4 linked regions of the Schizosaccharomyces pombe genome follow. The gene in region 3 interacts genetically with the main gene of each other region. Each region holds a gene or a part of one and is shown on either strand. Other genes may lie near its edges.

The links.
Region 1: mutations in sap114 (region 3) and mug166 together harm fitness less than expected from each alone (positive genetic interaction), as found in Schizosaccharomyces pombe (one large-scale study listed by BioGRID).
Region 2: mutations in sap114 (region 3) and shr3 together harm fitness more than expected from each alone (negative genetic interaction), as found in Schizosaccharomyces pombe (one large-scale study listed by BioGRID).
Region 4: mutations in sap114 (region 3) and apm3 together harm fitness more than expected from each alone (negative genetic interaction), as found in Schizosaccharomyces pombe (one large-scale study listed by BioGRID).

What each region holds. Positions count from the first base shown.
Region 1 is NC_003423.3:1,245,302-1,248,782, forward strand, and holds mug166 (protein mug166), read left to right. Parts: upstream 1-2,096; 5' UTR 2,097-2,182; coding exon 2,183-2,887; downstream 2,888-3,481. Other genes in the region: SPOM_SPBC651.04 (uncharacterized protein), read left to right, coding at 1-259; ESCRT II complex subunit Dot2, read right to left, coding at 801-920, 979-1,617; SPOM_SPBC651.07 (uncharacterized protein), read left to right, coding at 3,295-3,305, 3,391-3,481.
Region 2 is NC_003423.3:1,173,720-1,177,861, reverse strand, and holds shr3 (chaperone protein Shr3), read left to right. Parts: upstream 1-1,948; 5' UTR 1,949-1,996; coding exon 1,997-2,107; intron 2,108-2,496; coding exon 2,497-3,033; 3' UTR 3,034-3,382; downstream 3,383-4,142. Other genes in the region: translocation subcomplex subunit Sec66, read right to left, coding at 423-1,001; mtx1 (metaxin 1), read left to right, coding at 3,778-4,142. UniProt on the Schizosaccharomyces pombe protein: Involved in amino acid permease processing and required for the efficient translocation of structurally related amino acid permeases from the endoplasmic reticulum to the plasma membrane.
Region 3 is NC_003424.3:1,171,724-1,176,384, reverse strand, and holds sap114 (U2 snRNP-associated protein Sap114), read left to right. Parts: upstream 1-1,936; 5' UTR 1,937-2,229; coding exon 2,230-2,356; intron 2,357-2,405; coding exon 2,406-2,712; intron 2,713-2,775; coding exon 2,776-3,092; intron 3,093-3,177; coding exon 3,178-3,552; intron 3,553-3,595; coding exon 3,596-3,915; 3' UTR 3,916-4,034; downstream 4,035-4,661. Other genes in the region: ept1 (CDP-alcohol phosphatidyltransferase class-I family protein), read right to left, coding at 604-1,627, 1,678-1,814; cardiolipin synthase/ hydrolase fusion protein Crd1, read left to right, coding at 4,259-4,386, 4,429-4,485, 4,529-4,661. UniProt on the Schizosaccharomyces pombe protein: Involved in pre-mRNA splicing. May be involved in endoplasmic reticulum-associated protein degradation (ERAD) and required for growth at low and high temperatures.
Region 4 is NC_003423.3:1,258,385-1,262,416, reverse strand, and holds apm3 (AP-3 adaptor complex subunit Apm3), read left to right. Parts: upstream 1-1,743; 5' UTR 1,744-1,776; coding exon 1,777-1,817; intron 1,818-1,861; coding exon 1,862-2,281; exon of another isoform or gene 2,282-2,329; coding exon 2,330-3,146; 3' UTR 3,147-3,228; downstream 3,229-4,032. Other genes in the region: protein dbl7, read left to right, coding at 577-1,398; Smc5-6 complex non-SMC subunit Nse5, read right to left, coding at 3,348-4,032. UniProt on the Schizosaccharomyces pombe protein: Part of the AP-3 complex, an adaptor-related complex which is not clathrin-associated. The complex is associated with the Golgi region as well as more peripheral structures.

The sequences.
Region 1 (3,481 bases), on a different chromosome or scaffold from region 3:
GAGCGCCAGGAAACACAAAGTTCCTTCTTCCTTTCATCGATTTTCTGGTCGACGTGGTCTTGGTATACATTACAACCATTCTGGTTCTCAGAGCAGCTTAATAACTTTACCTTTACCTCAAAAGCAGCCTGATTTTTTACGTATGAATAACGATACTAATGAGCTAAAAACAAATGGGTTTGAGCCTATTCGGTTTGTATTTACCACTACTCCTTATTCACCTGCTTCCTTTGAGGTACCAAAGACCCTTAAAACTTAAAAAATGATTGTTTTCTTCCAAGGAATTTCCCTTACTAATTAATTTTGTTTCCATTTTCCAAGGTCCATACAACTTTGCGTCTTGCTGTTTAATATGACCTCCGATTCTATTCTATTTTATTATATTATTATTATTCTTAAATTATTGTTGTGTTGTTTATCACTACTTCCCGTTATTTCGAGCTCTTCTCTTCTTCTTCTCCTTCTTATACCTGTACATATTATCTTTTCCAGTTTCATACTTTATGTCTCTCCTTTTTTCGGTTTTCGTGCTTCAGTTTCTTTTACTTCTTAATTCTTCTAAACCCAAACTTTTTTCTCAAACATATATACATATATATATATATTACATATTACGTTTTCTTCATCGAATTCAAAGTTTTATTCTTCATTAGTTTGACTTTTATCACAGCGTTACTAGATGCTTTTACGAATTAATATATAGACTGGCAAAATTAAGCGTAGGGTTGACTATCTATGAACGGTTGTAAACAAGCAGGTCAACCTCCCCCAAAATTCTAGGTAGTCTTGATAAAAAGGCATTAGAAATTTTCGTATAAAAACCTTTGCGCCTGGTCGTCGATAAGATTGCTTGCACCCCAATAGGCCATCTCCACCCCCTGGGAGTCAATCCAGAGTAATGATTTTGAAACTAAATCATTCTAAATTATTTGGTTAGTCGCAAATGTTTTGAGATATTTTTATAATTTAACTGCGTACCAATACTTGAATGCATCTGCTACGCTCCCAAGCGTAATTGTCCCGTAAAATAGATATTGTTACATAGCCCAATATCTCTACAGCCTCTAAAACAACATTTTGGTCGGTGTTGAGCTCTAAAGGAAGGGACCGGATATACTGTTTACCTGCAATTTTTTCAAGAACAAAGCCAGGGCCAAGTGGGGCCAAACTATCGACAGCTCGAACAACGTCAGTCTCTCTTAACCATTCATGACCAAAGGCTTCATTTTCTTCATTTAAAAAACGACAAACTTGGCTGACCGATAAGAGGCCTCCATTCTCCATTTGAGTAGCATAACAGACTTCGATTACTCGTACAGCGACCTGATAATAGAATTCGTTCATGCCCACGGCCGCCCAAGCTGACTCATCAGAACCACTAACAAATGGATCTAAACCAATTTTCAAAGCTAACTTAACAAATGTATTTCGAAATTGAGAGTTTTGTTTTATCTCAGTGGCATGTTCTCTCGCAAACGTCTTCAGCGCTTCCTGAAACGTCGAGAGTTGAGATGCAATTTCATCGGACTGCTGTTCAATAAGTTCATTTCCTACTTCTTCATACTGTTTTAGATATTCATCGTCGTTCAAAGCTCCAATTCCAATTCTTTTACGCATCGGCCCAACCGAACATTGCTTGTTTCAAGCGCACAATCTTTATGATCGAGGCTTTTAATTAACAAGTAATTTCGAAAAAATATCAACAACAACGTAATTGACCAGTTTCTACAATTATTCGCGAATAATAGTCCTCTTCCAAGATCACAGGAGTTGTGTAGAAGAGCAATAACAACCTGCTTAGGAGAATAAACCATCCATTAATTATAACAATAGTAAACTAACTAGCTCATGAAAAGAATGTAACTAACAGGAGCGTTACATTTCATTATCTAGTATACCAAGTTATTTCCTGCTATATTAGTAAACTATCTTAAATTAGAATATCGTATAGCAGCGCATATTCAGTTTTTTAACGCACTTAACTGGACTTCCTTATAAAGTTGTTTATCACATTGTTTAGCTGCGGTATTTTCTTGATTATAGACTGGTACCACCACCAATAGTGACTAAGTGTAGGCCAGAGATTATTTGGTGCTAAAACCAACTACTTCTTGGGACTCTGCGAGGCTCGAGTAATTTCAATCGTTTTTTTTTATTTACTCACATTCAGGGTGCTTTGAAGATGCCAAGGAGAGCTGTACTTTTCCGTGGCAATTCATTCATTTCGTTTTCGTCAATTTCCTCAGGAAACGAGAGTAGCGCCCATGGGGATGCTTCACTTGGACAAGCAGATAAACCCTTAACTGTCGACGTTTTAGATGCTTGGACCACTCAATTCACAAAAAAGCAGACCAGGGTCTTTCATGAGGCATATGTAAGCGCTTATATCGATTTGCAACAAAAATACGCTCGACTTGAACGACTTCAGGAGCAGATCCTTAATTTGGAAAGATCGCTGTTAAATTATAAATCTTTAAAAAGTAACTCTACCACAACGGTGGCGACAGTTCCCTCCGAAAAACGATATTTCTTCCGCCGCAAACCAAAAACTTCTTCAACTACTAATTCTCTCTCTTCTTCTTCTTCTAGTGTCTCGCATATGAATCAAGATGCTAACCCCAATAGCACCGTATTGACCTTTACTGCTGTTCCTTACGATTCTTGTTTACCTGCACCAGACCGACACACTCCCTCTAGTGCATCGTCTAGGGCGAGTGAAACGGGTACCACAAGCCCACAAAGTATGAGGAACCAAATTAGCCTTCTTTACTCAAAAGTCGATCAAGTCAAAACTGAAATTGCTTCGGCACAAGCTGTTATGCATGATTTGTTGCGCACTTATCCTGGCAGTGAAAGTTTGCAACAATCTACTCATACTCAATTTTGATGCCCCTACACAAACAAAAACTCTCTCTATTTTTAGTTTTCTGTTTTATCTGCGTTTTCTCTTGAAATGAATATTTTTTGTTAAGTTGTATTTTAGAGAATTCGATTATCGATGGATGTCCATTGATGAATCGATCGAAAGAGTCCCATGAGACTTTTTCTTTAATTGTTTTACCCTTTAATAACTTGGAAGCATTCACCAATATATATTTGTTATCGTCTTTTCCATCGAATCTTCTGTAATTCACCTCTTTACCTTTTTCCAGCAAGCCTTGAACTTTCGTTACTTGGGTCGTTACTTTATACTGATGTCCTCTAAATTAATTTCGATCCACTTACTTCCCCATCTCTTTCAACATTTACACTTTCTGACTATAGTAAGTGTTTAATTGTAAAAGAGGTTACTCCATGATTGTAATGTACGTTCCTCAATAAATGTTGCTGTACGGACATTGCCGTAACAAATTCAGTCAGTCAGATATATTTTTCTAACTAAAATTGAAGTGAGCCGACAATACTTTACGAAGCTGCTGCTTTATACACCCGTTATACTGCAAATGGAGGCGATTCTAACGACGTTGTCGCGTTATTAGTA
Region 2 (4,142 bases), on a different chromosome or scaffold from region 3:
TGAAGAGTAAATTATAGACCAACTTATAAAGGCTGAGCTCTTAACGGAGACATTTTGGCCAGAACATACATTTGAATTCCAATAACTTGTTTTCAAATAGTGCTTTTTTCTTTTTCCTTCTTTCTTTCCATATTTTTGTTATTGGTTTGGAAAAAAAAGGGAGTAGGAATAGGATGATAGATAATATGAATAGGAAAAAAGTATGACTTTCAATATAAAGGTAAGGACAGTGATAAAGCAAGCCCCCTTTATGGAGTCTATTACTGAATTTGATTTATGAATGAGTTCTAAGGATTATTGTATAAAATAGGAATTTTAGTTTCAAAGAAAGAAAAAGATAAGAAAACGTAAAACATCAGATGCAAGAAAGAAACAGGAAAAAAAGAATAAAGGCACATACGAACATCTTTTTTTAAAACAATTTATAGCACTCCAAGTTCTTTTTGGGCTTGAATACGCAATTCCTCATCAGCGGCTTCATACAGAATTTTTTCGGTTTGCCAACGTTGCGAAATAGAATCAATGTCCTTGGGAATATTATCAATTATGCTGTGAATTTTTTCGTTTTCAATTATTTCATTGCAAGTTTGGAATATAAACTGATTCCATCCAGGCTGCAATGAATTGGCAGTTTTGGCAATATCCATCAACTCCAATTCAGTTTCCTTTTCCAAACGACCAAACTTACGAATTAGCTCGTCACCAACGCCGCCGCGGTTGAGCAAATTATTCAATGCCATTCTCGATACTTTAAGCTTCATCAATCGACGAAGACCTTCTGTAGCCCGTAAAACGAGAGCAGCTTTCAAAAGTGTATCCTCGGCAGGTGGATTCTGCTGCAAAAGACTGAAAAATATATTTCTAGAATAATTTTCTCCAAACCATTCTTCTGATACTGGTTTTGATTCCTGATTTTTGGATTTTCGCACAAAACGAGAAACTCCATACATAGAGCCCATTAAAATGGTAATATATATCAAGGGAACGTAAATCGACACCATATTGAATTAATTAACACGGCCAAGTATGTAAAGCAAGCAGGGACCTTTTTCTTTAACAACTCGTATACCCTTTTTGTATTATTTGTTTTTTGCAGAGTGGACTGCAAATATGTATATGAGATATAACTTCGAGACCAAATGAATGCAAGACCAGTTTAGGTGTGAAAGGAGAATAGTGTGTTTTCTGGAATGCTTTATATTTTATAAGGTTGATGTAATTTTCTGTTATTTGTAGATAAGAGATATTTATGTTTTCTTAAAGACGCTAAAATATTTTACGCGATGCGCTATTAGATAAACAAATCGATCGGATATTGTTCAATTGTTTGTTTAAACTCAGGTAAAAGTTTTTAGAATTAGAAATGAAAAAAATTTACTAATAGGGAACTAGGATAATAAACAATTGAGCATTTTAGAAACAGATTTTGCGACCATTGTGAAAACTGACGAAACATATAGTTAGGAAGACAAAAACACCTCATTTATGAAATTATTTCTTTTTTTCAAGTATACAAAGGATCTTTGTATGTTCTTCTATATTGTTTCTGTAGTTTTATTAGTATTTTTACATATCGAGGCATTGGCATTCATTTGTTTTATTTACAGCCAATTAATAAATTCCCTTATTTTGATATAAGCTTTACAGTCTCGCTTAACTTGAAAACGCTATGATGTTGTGTATTCAGTTACAATAAATAGTGACATACAATAGTCGCTCAAATATATCTGGTTATATTTTATATTAAATAATTTTGCCAACTGATTTATCTTGGGTTGATTTTTCTTATTCGTGAGATTTAGATAGCCGTTCATGATGTTTTTCTGCATACAATGCATATTAGTGGAAAATGCGTTCGATTTCCTTATACTCATACAATCCTTTAGACCGTCGAAAGCGGAGTGGTATCACTTTGGTATAAAAAGGTAGTCTTAATTAACCTACCACTAACGTATATTTTCATTAACAAAAAAAAAGTTTATTATCATTATTCAAGATGGCTAAAAGATCCATATTTCGTTTTGCTGATGAAAAGGGCTTGAAGGTCGCTGCCCGTTATGGAGTCCTTATGTCAACTAGTTTTATTTTTGCTTTACTTTTCCACAGCGTATGTTCCAATCAAATTTCTATTTTATTCTAAGATTATTCATTTGAAAATCAACTTTCATTTGATATCAATTTCGTTTAGCTTTTGGAGACAAAGGGAGCAGAATATGAGAAATTATAAGTCGGTACTTTGAGTGAATTCTGAATTTGTTTTACAAAACATGCATTGTTAAAATAAATCTGGAAAATTATTTTATCAGGAACGTTTCTAAAAAGGAGCTTTTTGTCTGTTTAAGTTTTCATAATCGGATACGAGCATTCATCTTACCGCTCAATGTTTGCCGCGCTGCTCATTTTTCTGTTGTTCTTATGTTTTTGGAGCTTCACTTCGAATTGATTACTTTGTTCATAGTCTTTATTTTCTTAGCATAAATTACTAATGTCATTTAGAGCGTTGCCGATGTGAATACCTTATGGAGTCCTGGCCCTGAGTCTGCTTTCGATGCTGCTGAAACTTACTATACTTTGGTGGCTGGATCCCATTTCATTGTAAAATATACTGTATATACCATCATGGGACTTAATATGATTTTCCATCTTATTCAAGCCACTGGCGCTAAAGGTGATGACAAATTGTTCTTTTACTCTAGCACGCTTCTTTATCTTACTGCACTAATTTTGTTTATTGTTAATGTTGCTCCTTCTATGTTGGTTGTTAAGCTACAGAATTATGTTCAATTCCCACGAAATATGCACTTGTCCGTTCTTGCTGCTTCTCATGTTCTTGTTGAATTTCTTCTTGCTGGTGTCATTCTTATTCAACTTGGATACGTTTTCGGATATCATGTTCAAAGTATCCAGCAGCGCGAATACGCTGAAGATATGAGGGAGCAAGAATTAGCTGAAAAGGCTAAATTGGAATCCGAGTCTGCTACTACTCAGAGTGTAGAAACTGTTTCCACCGAATCTGTTTCAAAGCGCAAGTAAACAAACCACTTGGGTCTAATTTTACAACTTTTGGAATAGAGTGAACTATTTTATATCTTGCTAATTATTGTTGCTAGTCCGTCATCAACTCTTTGACGCAAAGTTTATGTCTAACTAGAAAGCAAAGAGTGACTTGCATTGACGGTAACTGGGAAAGCTTACATGTGTATTCATACGTACAATTATATATATACAAGATTTATACTGTCTTATATAAGAAATAAATTGACTTGAATTTTCGATAGAGGAATAGTTCGTTATGTTTGGATTTAGAATAGTCTTTAGCACACTTATACTTCTTAATAATTAAATATGTACTCATTGTGCAAAAAGGATTATCACAAGTGAAGCTTTTGTGAGATTGTATATTCTTCTATACTATGGATGCATAAACAAAGTCTCATTTTAGATGGGTTTTACGCTGCAGATACAGCAGAAGCGCCATACAAATATACTAAGTAAAATCTCAAAGTTCAAATGCTCAATCGATTTATTGTGCTAATTATCGATGTTTAATTCACTTTTTAACAACTAATAAATAGGTAACAATGTTACTTGTTCGTATAGCTTACTTGACTGCATAGCATCAGAATGATAATTGTAACTAGCTTCAGCGAATTTGGTAAGTTGGACTAGTTGGTTAGTTATTACCTTTTTTTTCTTTCTTCTGTGTTTCTCTAATCTCAACCCTACTGTAGACGGTAACTTTTTCAATTCATTCGTTCGGGTCATTTTTTGATCAAAATGTTGCAACTTTTCATTTATAGCCCAGGACTTGGGCAACCAACGATGGATCCTGGATGCTTAGCGGCATTAATTTATTGCGCACTTGCCGTCCCAAAGGACGAAATTGAAATTCTTCGCACTGCAAATTCAGGTATGAGCCCTACCCATAAGCTACCAGCTTTGTGGGATGGTCATGTTTGGATTGGATCTTTGAAAAACATTTTAATATACTTGAAACAGAAGGGCTATAATTTGGATAATTTTGATGCGAAACAGCTGGCCAATGTTATGGCCTTCACCAGTTTATTGGAAGGTTCCGTCAATGACCTTTGGTTATTAGAAGCCTTTGTTAATGAGGAAAATTTTGTTGAAGCAATAAGACC
Region 3 (4,661 bases):
AAATCGCAGCGTAAACTTGAGTCACCTTTATGTAGCAAAAGATTGCCTTAAAAGGGCAAACTCTACCAATGCCCAAAGAAGCAATGGGACAGGACGATGGCTATTTATTGAAATTGTTAAATCGTTACGAACTGCCATAAGAACCTTAATTAAAAGAAGGTTGTCGAAAAGTGCTCCGGTCTGCACATGTGGAACCAGTCATCTTAGTTAGTGCAGCCCCGGTATTCCACGGTGAAAAGCAAGTTTGCAGTGTAGAAGACAAATGGACCATTTGTTCATCAGTATATACAGTTAGTTAAAAGGATACGAAAGGCTGGATCATTTAGTGAACGAAGTCGCAAGTGAAATACTTGTTCATTATTATGTTCTGGTAAAAAAACCAACTTTTATTACTACAGCAGGAAAACAAACAAAAGTAACATATTGTTGGCAGAAAACACACAACCGAAAAAAACCTGTCTACTAGGAAATGGATCATTTTGATACTTCTGATCCGTTAGATACATTGCAGAACAAAAGATCGACCGAAAGGTTATCAATGACAAAATCTCTCTGGACCCTTTTGTTCTCATCTCTATTCTGTCCAAACCATCATCATCTAGTTCAATTCTTCTTGGACTCTGGTTTGGATGGAATAGTCAAACATTTAATGCCGTACTCTTCCGTAATCATGGCAATGACATGTGCAACAAAGTTGCCGTAAACACCAATGCAAATTCCAACGTAGCAAAAAAAGTATTCCGTCTGAACGTTTTTTAATACGCCAAAAGTATAGGCGTCCACGGCATCCACCAAGAATGGAAGAATAAGCACATTCCAGTATGGGAAGGGAGATTCGGTAATGTGAGAAACAATTACCACTCCAACCGAATAAGCAAAGATAAAAGCGTTCAAGCAAAAAATAGTGAGGAAATGATGTTCAAAGAAAGCAGGATACTTGGCATAGAGTGAAAAGACAGCCATCCATTGGAGGAAATAGGGAAGGATACCACTCAATGCTTTAATCACACTTCCGTTGTTCTTTTGGACGGCTTGAAGAGCATTTCGTAAACTTTGTAAGACATTCAATAGCAGGGCAAATGCCATAAAGTTGTACAAGCATGATCCATATGTGTAGTATGGCAGAAAGGAACGTACAAATCCCCATGACTCGGGAGTGGGATGTAGCTTGAGCCAGAAAGAATCACCCTTAATAGCTGTAAGGGCAAATAGTCCAATAACCATTACAATTCCTTCGACAGGACCCGAGAAGTATGAAAGGTACAAAGTACCCGTATGGTATTCTTCCCAAGTAGAGATGTAAAAGTATAATAAGCTGGCAAATTGAGTAAGGATTGAGCTAAACATATCTAGTTGCAGCAGTTCAATCGTCAGTAAAACTTCAAAGCTCGTATTGATGGCGTCTACTCCATGGTCAAATAATTGACCTAATGGAGATGATGTGCCAGTACGACGCGCTTGCGAGCCATCAATAGCGTCAAAACTTTGGTAAAGAAAAAGGCCAATCGCCCAAGAAGCATACACCCATGATGGGAAAGCATCCATCTCATAATGATACTTGTACACAAGCATAGTAAGGATATTGATAACAACGAATCCAAGCCCGATCAAAGTAATCAAATTAGGTCTAAGTAAAGAGTTAGTAAGAATAAGCAAGCAAACGGGTGTAGATCATACGCCATAGACATGGGAATCACCTTCAAAAGTTGATTCCACCAGTACGGCTTCAAAATATATTTTGAAAGAAGTGAGTTATCAATCGCACTATATTTATAGTTATGAAGATTCTTTAACTGCTTCCGGTTTAACTGCATCTTGAGAAACTACCTGGATATCCTTTCCTTATTCTCCGATAAAGTACTGGTAGAGGGTAAACATGTTACGCGTCTTAGTGTGTAGAAATAAAGGCAAAGCAACGAATGCAGATAAACCTTCTACCGATAAATAAATGTATAATGTAGCTTGCAAAAAAACTTGCACTATAACTATCTTTTAAATTCTAAATTGTAAGGATAATTGTTGCTATCAACCGTTTTGATGTTATTTGTCCATCCGCAGTGGATTACGGATGCCCTAGGCAACAACTGTTTAGAGCAGCAAGGTCGCCCTAAACTTTTATAAACTTCTATTGAATTTCAATAGTCCTTTCTTTTCGCTTGTCCATCGCTTCATCTGCCTTGTGCGACAAGTGTCCTTCCACCACTACCTTTTTCTGCATAAGTCTCACATATGAGTTCTTTAATGGAATTCCAAGACAGAAATACGACAAATAATGAAACAGAACACCAAAAAAGCATCACTGATCAAAGTTCATCGGTCCCTGCAGGGGTAATTTTACCTCCTCCAGCAATTCGAGGTGAGTCATAGTAATTAGTACAATAGACGCGCCTGCTAACGTAGCTTAGAAATAATTGATAAATCTGCTAGTTACGTTGCCAGAAATGGCCCAGCTTTTGAAGAAAAAATTCGCCAGAATGAACAGGCAAATACTAAGTTTGCTTTCTTGCATGCTAATGACCCCTACCACCCATATTATCAGCACAAATTAACTGAAGCGAGGGAGGGAAAATTGAAGAGTCATGCCACAGGCTTGTCAACCCAAAAAACATCCACTTTGGCTCGTCCCATTCAAAAACCTATAGAGGCAACTATTCCTGCTCCCTCACCGTACTTGTTTTCAGAACCACTTCCTTCTATTTCATCACTAGATTTGTAAGTATCATCTCAACTATTATTTCCTTCTTCTTTGAAGTTGCTAATTAACCGTGAATCTAGAGACGTGCTCCGTTTAACTGCGCGATATGCGGCAGTTCGTGGTTCTTCTTTCTTAGTGAGTCTTTCTCAAAAAGAGTGGAATAACACTCAATTTGATTTTTTAAAGCCAAATAATGCATTGTACCCTTACTTTATGCGTATAGTTCAACAATATACTTCTCTAATTAGAGAGCCCATTTCTTCGCCAGAACAGGAGCTTCGTGAAAATGTGAGAGACCCTTATAGCTTACTTTCTAAAATTCAGCCGCGTGTAAGGTGGCAATCGCATATGGAGAGCCAAAAGAAAAAACAAAAGGAAGAAGCCGAAAAAGAGAAGTGTAAGTGTATATTGAGATGCAAAAACTGGTTCAGGAAGTCCAATATTCTTCATTTACCATTTGAATTGGAACTAACTTGTCTTAGTGGAATATGCACAAATTGATTGGAACGATTTTGTCGTTGTTGAAGTGATTCAATTCACAAAGTCCGATGAACATGCAAAATTAGCTAAACCTACGAATTTAGCGGATTTACAAACTGCTACTTTAGAACAAAAGTCTGCCATGTTTACCATGCCTGACCAAAATTACACTATTGAGGAAGCTCCTCCTACAGCGGAGCCTTGGGAGCCCATAAGTGCGCCTAAAAAACAAGAATTTGGTGTTTCTCTTCCTCCATCACTTGCTTCTCCAGAAAAAGGAGGTATTTCTTCAACTACTTCAGTTTCTCCTGCCGCACAAGCTTCTCCCGTTTTGTCTACCACTACTCAGCCGAAGGTACAAAAGCCAGTACCAAAGGGTAAGTTTATATTCCTTATTGTAACTTTACTGACCCTGTTTAGCTTTCCAGCCCAAAGTTCCGATGGAGATATCGCCTTTCTCAGGTGAATTGGTTCCCGCTACAGAACTAGAAGAGCATATGCGTCTAAAATTACTTGACCCTCGCTGGCAGGAACAGCGCAAAGTTGAAGAATCTAGGAAATCAACTTTAAATTTAGAGAACGTGAACGTTGCTGCAAATATGAAAAGATTGGTTAGTCAACGGACTGATTTGTTTGACGTCCAAAACGGGGTAGAAATCTCTCAAGAGGAAATCGAACGAAGAAAACGTGCTGCTACTCAGAGCGCTTGGGGAGCAACTCCCACAAATAAACGCCGGTAGATTTCATAGAACTTTTTTTAATTTTGTTAATTTTTACTTTATTTTATTTAAGCTTCGTAGGACGCCGAAATCTATTAGTTAATTTGCTTCTACAACTCGTGAAATAAATAAGATGTAAATAAACCAGGTGTTGTAGACTTTCTCCAACTAATTGAGAATACAAATATTCTTTATTATAAAAAGTCCAATACACTAAACAAAGCTGGATTTTAACTTAGGAAATGCGGGTCTGGTTTTCATACCCGCCCACCGTCATCCTTAAGTTGTCATACCACGTAACCGCACAAACCTCTTAATTTTTTACTTCTTACATTGTTGATTCTTCATTTATCGGCTTTAATAAATGCTACATACTATCAATTATAGATCTTGGCATTTGGCTGCCAGGCAGTTAGGGCGTTCAACGTTTCGAAAGTTTACGACCGAATCGTCTACTAAAAGCCCTATTGCAGATGTTTGTTTCGCATTTGAGTAATACAGTAATTAATGATCGATTTTTGAAACTAACCAAAGCAGTATTGATGGAGTTTTAATTAGAGGAGGAAGAGGTTTGAAAGAAGGAACGAAGACGTAAGCTTAACTATGAACTACCATTTTCAAACTAACTTGTAAGTTTGAAATTTTTGCAAAAAAATAATATACCTTTTATTCTGTTAACGAATGGAGGTGGTATGCATGAGAGTGTTAGAGCTCAGCGTCTTTCCAAGACATTGAGCGTAAGTTTAACAGAGGATGATTTTTGTCAA
Region 4 (4,032 bases), on a different chromosome or scaffold from region 3:
AAATACGTCTTTCTCATCTCGATATATTGTAAATGTAACAGGTTCGGCTCAATCTCTCATTTCTCTTCTGAGTTGCAAACTATTGCAGTGTGGTTGAAGTTCTTGTTGCTTTGCTCAATATGATGCTATTTTATTATATTTTCTCTGCTTCGTTTAATACCCAACGTACTTATTATTCGTAATTTAATCTCGTAATTACTCCGTGTTGTTTTGTAGGTCCTCCTCGTATTCCTTATTGCTGCTCTTTTCGAAAAAAAAAATATATATATATATTTTCCATAACTAAAATGGGTCTGTGGACGAAAAAATCTATTTTGTTTAACCAAATGACTAAAGTATTTGTTAACCAAAAATTATTATTTTTTTTCCACTACTTCGTATTTAATACAGCCGATCATACAGTAAAGTGCTGATTACACTCGCATGATCGTTGTCTGCTCTCACCACAAGTCATTCACTTATATCAATGTTGTGCCAGCTTTTTACGTTTAAGCTCAAAATTTCCTTTGTATCCATATATTAGGATTATTGAAATTCAATTTATTGTCAATTTATCATGCCGCAACGCTATTATACATGAGTTCCAAGAAAGTCAAATACAATCCTCGAAAAAGCGCATCTCAAAATGAAGCTACCTCAGCTTCAGCAGGTAGCAAAGCTTTTGGATTTAATTCCGCGAAAAAGGAGAAACTTCATAGAATGGCGCTGTCTATGGAAGCAATTGAAGATGTTGAGGATCAATCGTTCAATGGCAAGTCTTCCAATCTAGTCAGAAAGCGTCGGGGTTTGGATGAAGACATTGATGAATTTTCTTCTTCATCAGAGGATGAAAGAAAGCCTGCTCGACATCCTCAAAGCTCCTCTCAAAAACCATTTGCTAGCTCTACATACAACGTAGAGCTTCCAACATCTCCGACTAAAATTACCAATATCGGTCAGTCAAGCCCTAGAGCATTGCGCTACCTGTCTCCAGAATCTCAGAGAATAAAAAACGCCAAGATGAAGTCGCCTATTTCAACACATCTGGCTAAATATTCTATTCATCACATGGGTACTCCACCATCTAAACCGTCATTCTTGAGTTCTAGCGTGTCTTCCCCTGCATCTAGTAAACAAAAATCACTTTTCCAGTGCACAAAAGATCTCGAGAAGAGATATATCAATCGTGTTCATCGTTCATCTGAAACTGAGCTTGTGCAACTTTCTTCCATTAAAGTTCTCGATCGATTTCTCTCTGACATATATCTAGTTGAAGCTGAAAAAAATGAGGAAAAATGCACAGTTTTACTTCTAAAACGTTCTAATACTGATGTAGACAATAGTAGCTCTCTATCTCTTACTTTACCTTTGTGTAAATTTACCAAAAATGGGCATCAAGTACACATACATCCTTGCTGATTCATATATAATGCTTTTTGCTATATTTACACAAAGCGTAAAGTTCATTGTGATATATTTATTTGTCATATATATATATTTTTTACAAGTATCTTAATCTACGACATTTATGAAAGGTGGTTTTCTGTTTAATCTAATTAATTTTTCAACCTGAGGTTCCTGCGTACCTTTTAGCAACCCATTTAAACGGTTTAGCATGTCAACAGTAGCATGGCTTAATTACTATTAATTACTTAAATTGTTTATAAATTAGGCTTTAAAAAGATTGAGAAAGGACATCTATGGTTACCCTTTCCTGTACACTAGAAGACCTTCTTAATCCATTTACCTTCATACGTATTCATCACCAACCAACCGCTCCTTTCATAAAACTTTTGAATGAGCACAATAGAAGCAATATATCTTGTAGACACTAATGGGTATGCGTTAGCTGTTTATTTACTTTATTAATCAAGTTGACTAGGGCGTTACTACTCCAGTTGGAGTCTCGAGGAAGGACATCTCCCATAACGTTAGAACATATAAAAAACGAACTTTTTCGCTACAAACTTCGAAATGAGGAGCCTCCATTTATATTACATAACAAAAATTTTTTGATATTTCAAGAGTTAGAGGAAGATGTGCGTTTGTGTATTCCTACAACTTGCGACACTGAGCCTCTCTACATTCATGATATTATGAGACGCATTGTGGATGTAGTTAAAACATTTTTTGGTGGGTTTAATGCTTCAAAGGTCGAGAAAAATGTTTGCGTTATTGTCCAGCTATTAGCTGAAATGATTGATTATGGATATGCAACTTGTATGGAACCAAATGCATTGCAGGACATTGTACCACTCCCTAGCTTTATGAATAAGTTTATGGCAGTTACTGGTCTACAAACGTATGTTATTTAGTTTTCTGTTTTTGCAGTGCTAACCGCATGATTTAGAAATACACCGACTCTTGCAAGAGATACCGTTCCTTGGAGAACAGCTAAAGCAAAATATGCAACCAATGAATTTTTTATTCATGTACTTGAACGCGTATCAGCCGTTTACCAGCCTAACGGAAAACTTGCTTTTGGCACAGTTAAAAGTGATATGGAATGCAAATGTCAAATATCTGGTATGCCTTTACTTTTGCTGAGTTTGAGACCCGGCACAAAACTAGGGAATGTTCGGTTCCACCAGTCAGTCAATTTAAAAAGATGGAAACAACATCCGGATCAGATTGAATTCATTCCACCGGACGGAAAATTTACATTAGCTTCTTTTCAAACAGACTTTGCTACCCAGAAATCTTTGCCTGTTGTTGTTGAAGCAAAAAATAAGTTGGATGGAAGGTTCGAAGTACGTATTCGAAACACCGGGAAAAAATCCGTTGAAAATTTAAAAATCCTAATAACTATTCCTCAAGCTCTAAAGAGCGTTACGGTTACCGAGGGAAATTATATTTTTCGTGCTTCCAAGTATACTCATATGGAAGAAGGTATTCTGGAGTGGTCGGTAAAAAAATTAGCTTGGACATCCCCGGCCTTAGTGTTGACAGGATTCCTGGCCCCCTTAAAGAAAGATGCCAATTCAACCGAAGAGTCAAGTAGCTACTCTAAGCTTGAGCACCTTGATTTACAATATAAACTTCAAGGATCAACCCTTCATAATTTTAAAGTAGAGTCATTGAAGATGCTTAATCATCCAGATAAAAAATCTTATAAAGGGGTCAAGCATACAATTATTGCACAAAATGTTTCATTTCGTTTTCGGTAATAATTAATTTACTTTCTATCTACCCGTTTGTTTATTATATATTATTCATATAAATTTCATTTTCTTAGTTATCACTAATGATTATAATAATTATTTTCCACACAAAGCCTCATTCATTGAAACGATACATATAGTCTATATATATTAGGATACACAATTAATGCCAAATGACTTCTGTTAATTTGTAGTTAAATTATTAAGTTAAACGATTTTATCCAAGGACAATTTTTTTGAAATATCTAATAATACAAGCATGTCTTTGAGTATTGCCATTGGTCTATCAATACCAACTAATTCTGTTTGTTGATACATTGTGTATAACTGCTTCAACGTTGTGTAAAATAGCTCTTTATCAAAGTTGCGATCACTTTCACGAAGGGCCGAACCCAAAAATGAGACCCATGCTCGTAGATGTAGCTTCTGTCTGATTTTGTTTTTCGGAAGGGAAGTGGGTAAAAGTTGAGTTAGCTGTTTAGTAAACTCACAACGTGTATGGCGTATGTTAATTCCAATACCTATTCCTTTCATAAGTATATATTGGCTCAGGCAATACCGGAGATTGGAGGCGCCTAAGTTTCCAAAGAAAAGATCTTGTTGTTTCGCATTCAGTTTTGAAAAACGTTCGTCGAGTTTGCTAAGAAAATGAAAAGCGTCTGTCAGATGTACAACAAAAAATCTTCCCTTCGGAAGCATAGCCCATATAAGGCATAAGAGTTTGGCACCTAGGTTTGCTAGTCTTGATGTTCCTTCAAAACTATTTGAACCTCGACTTTCTGTTTTAGCAGGTGCTTTGGACATACTTGTTGCAAAAGGTGATTCCATTGTTTGCTGGGGAAGAGTGAAACAGGAGAAGCAAATTCTGATGGCATCTTGAAGTTCACACAAA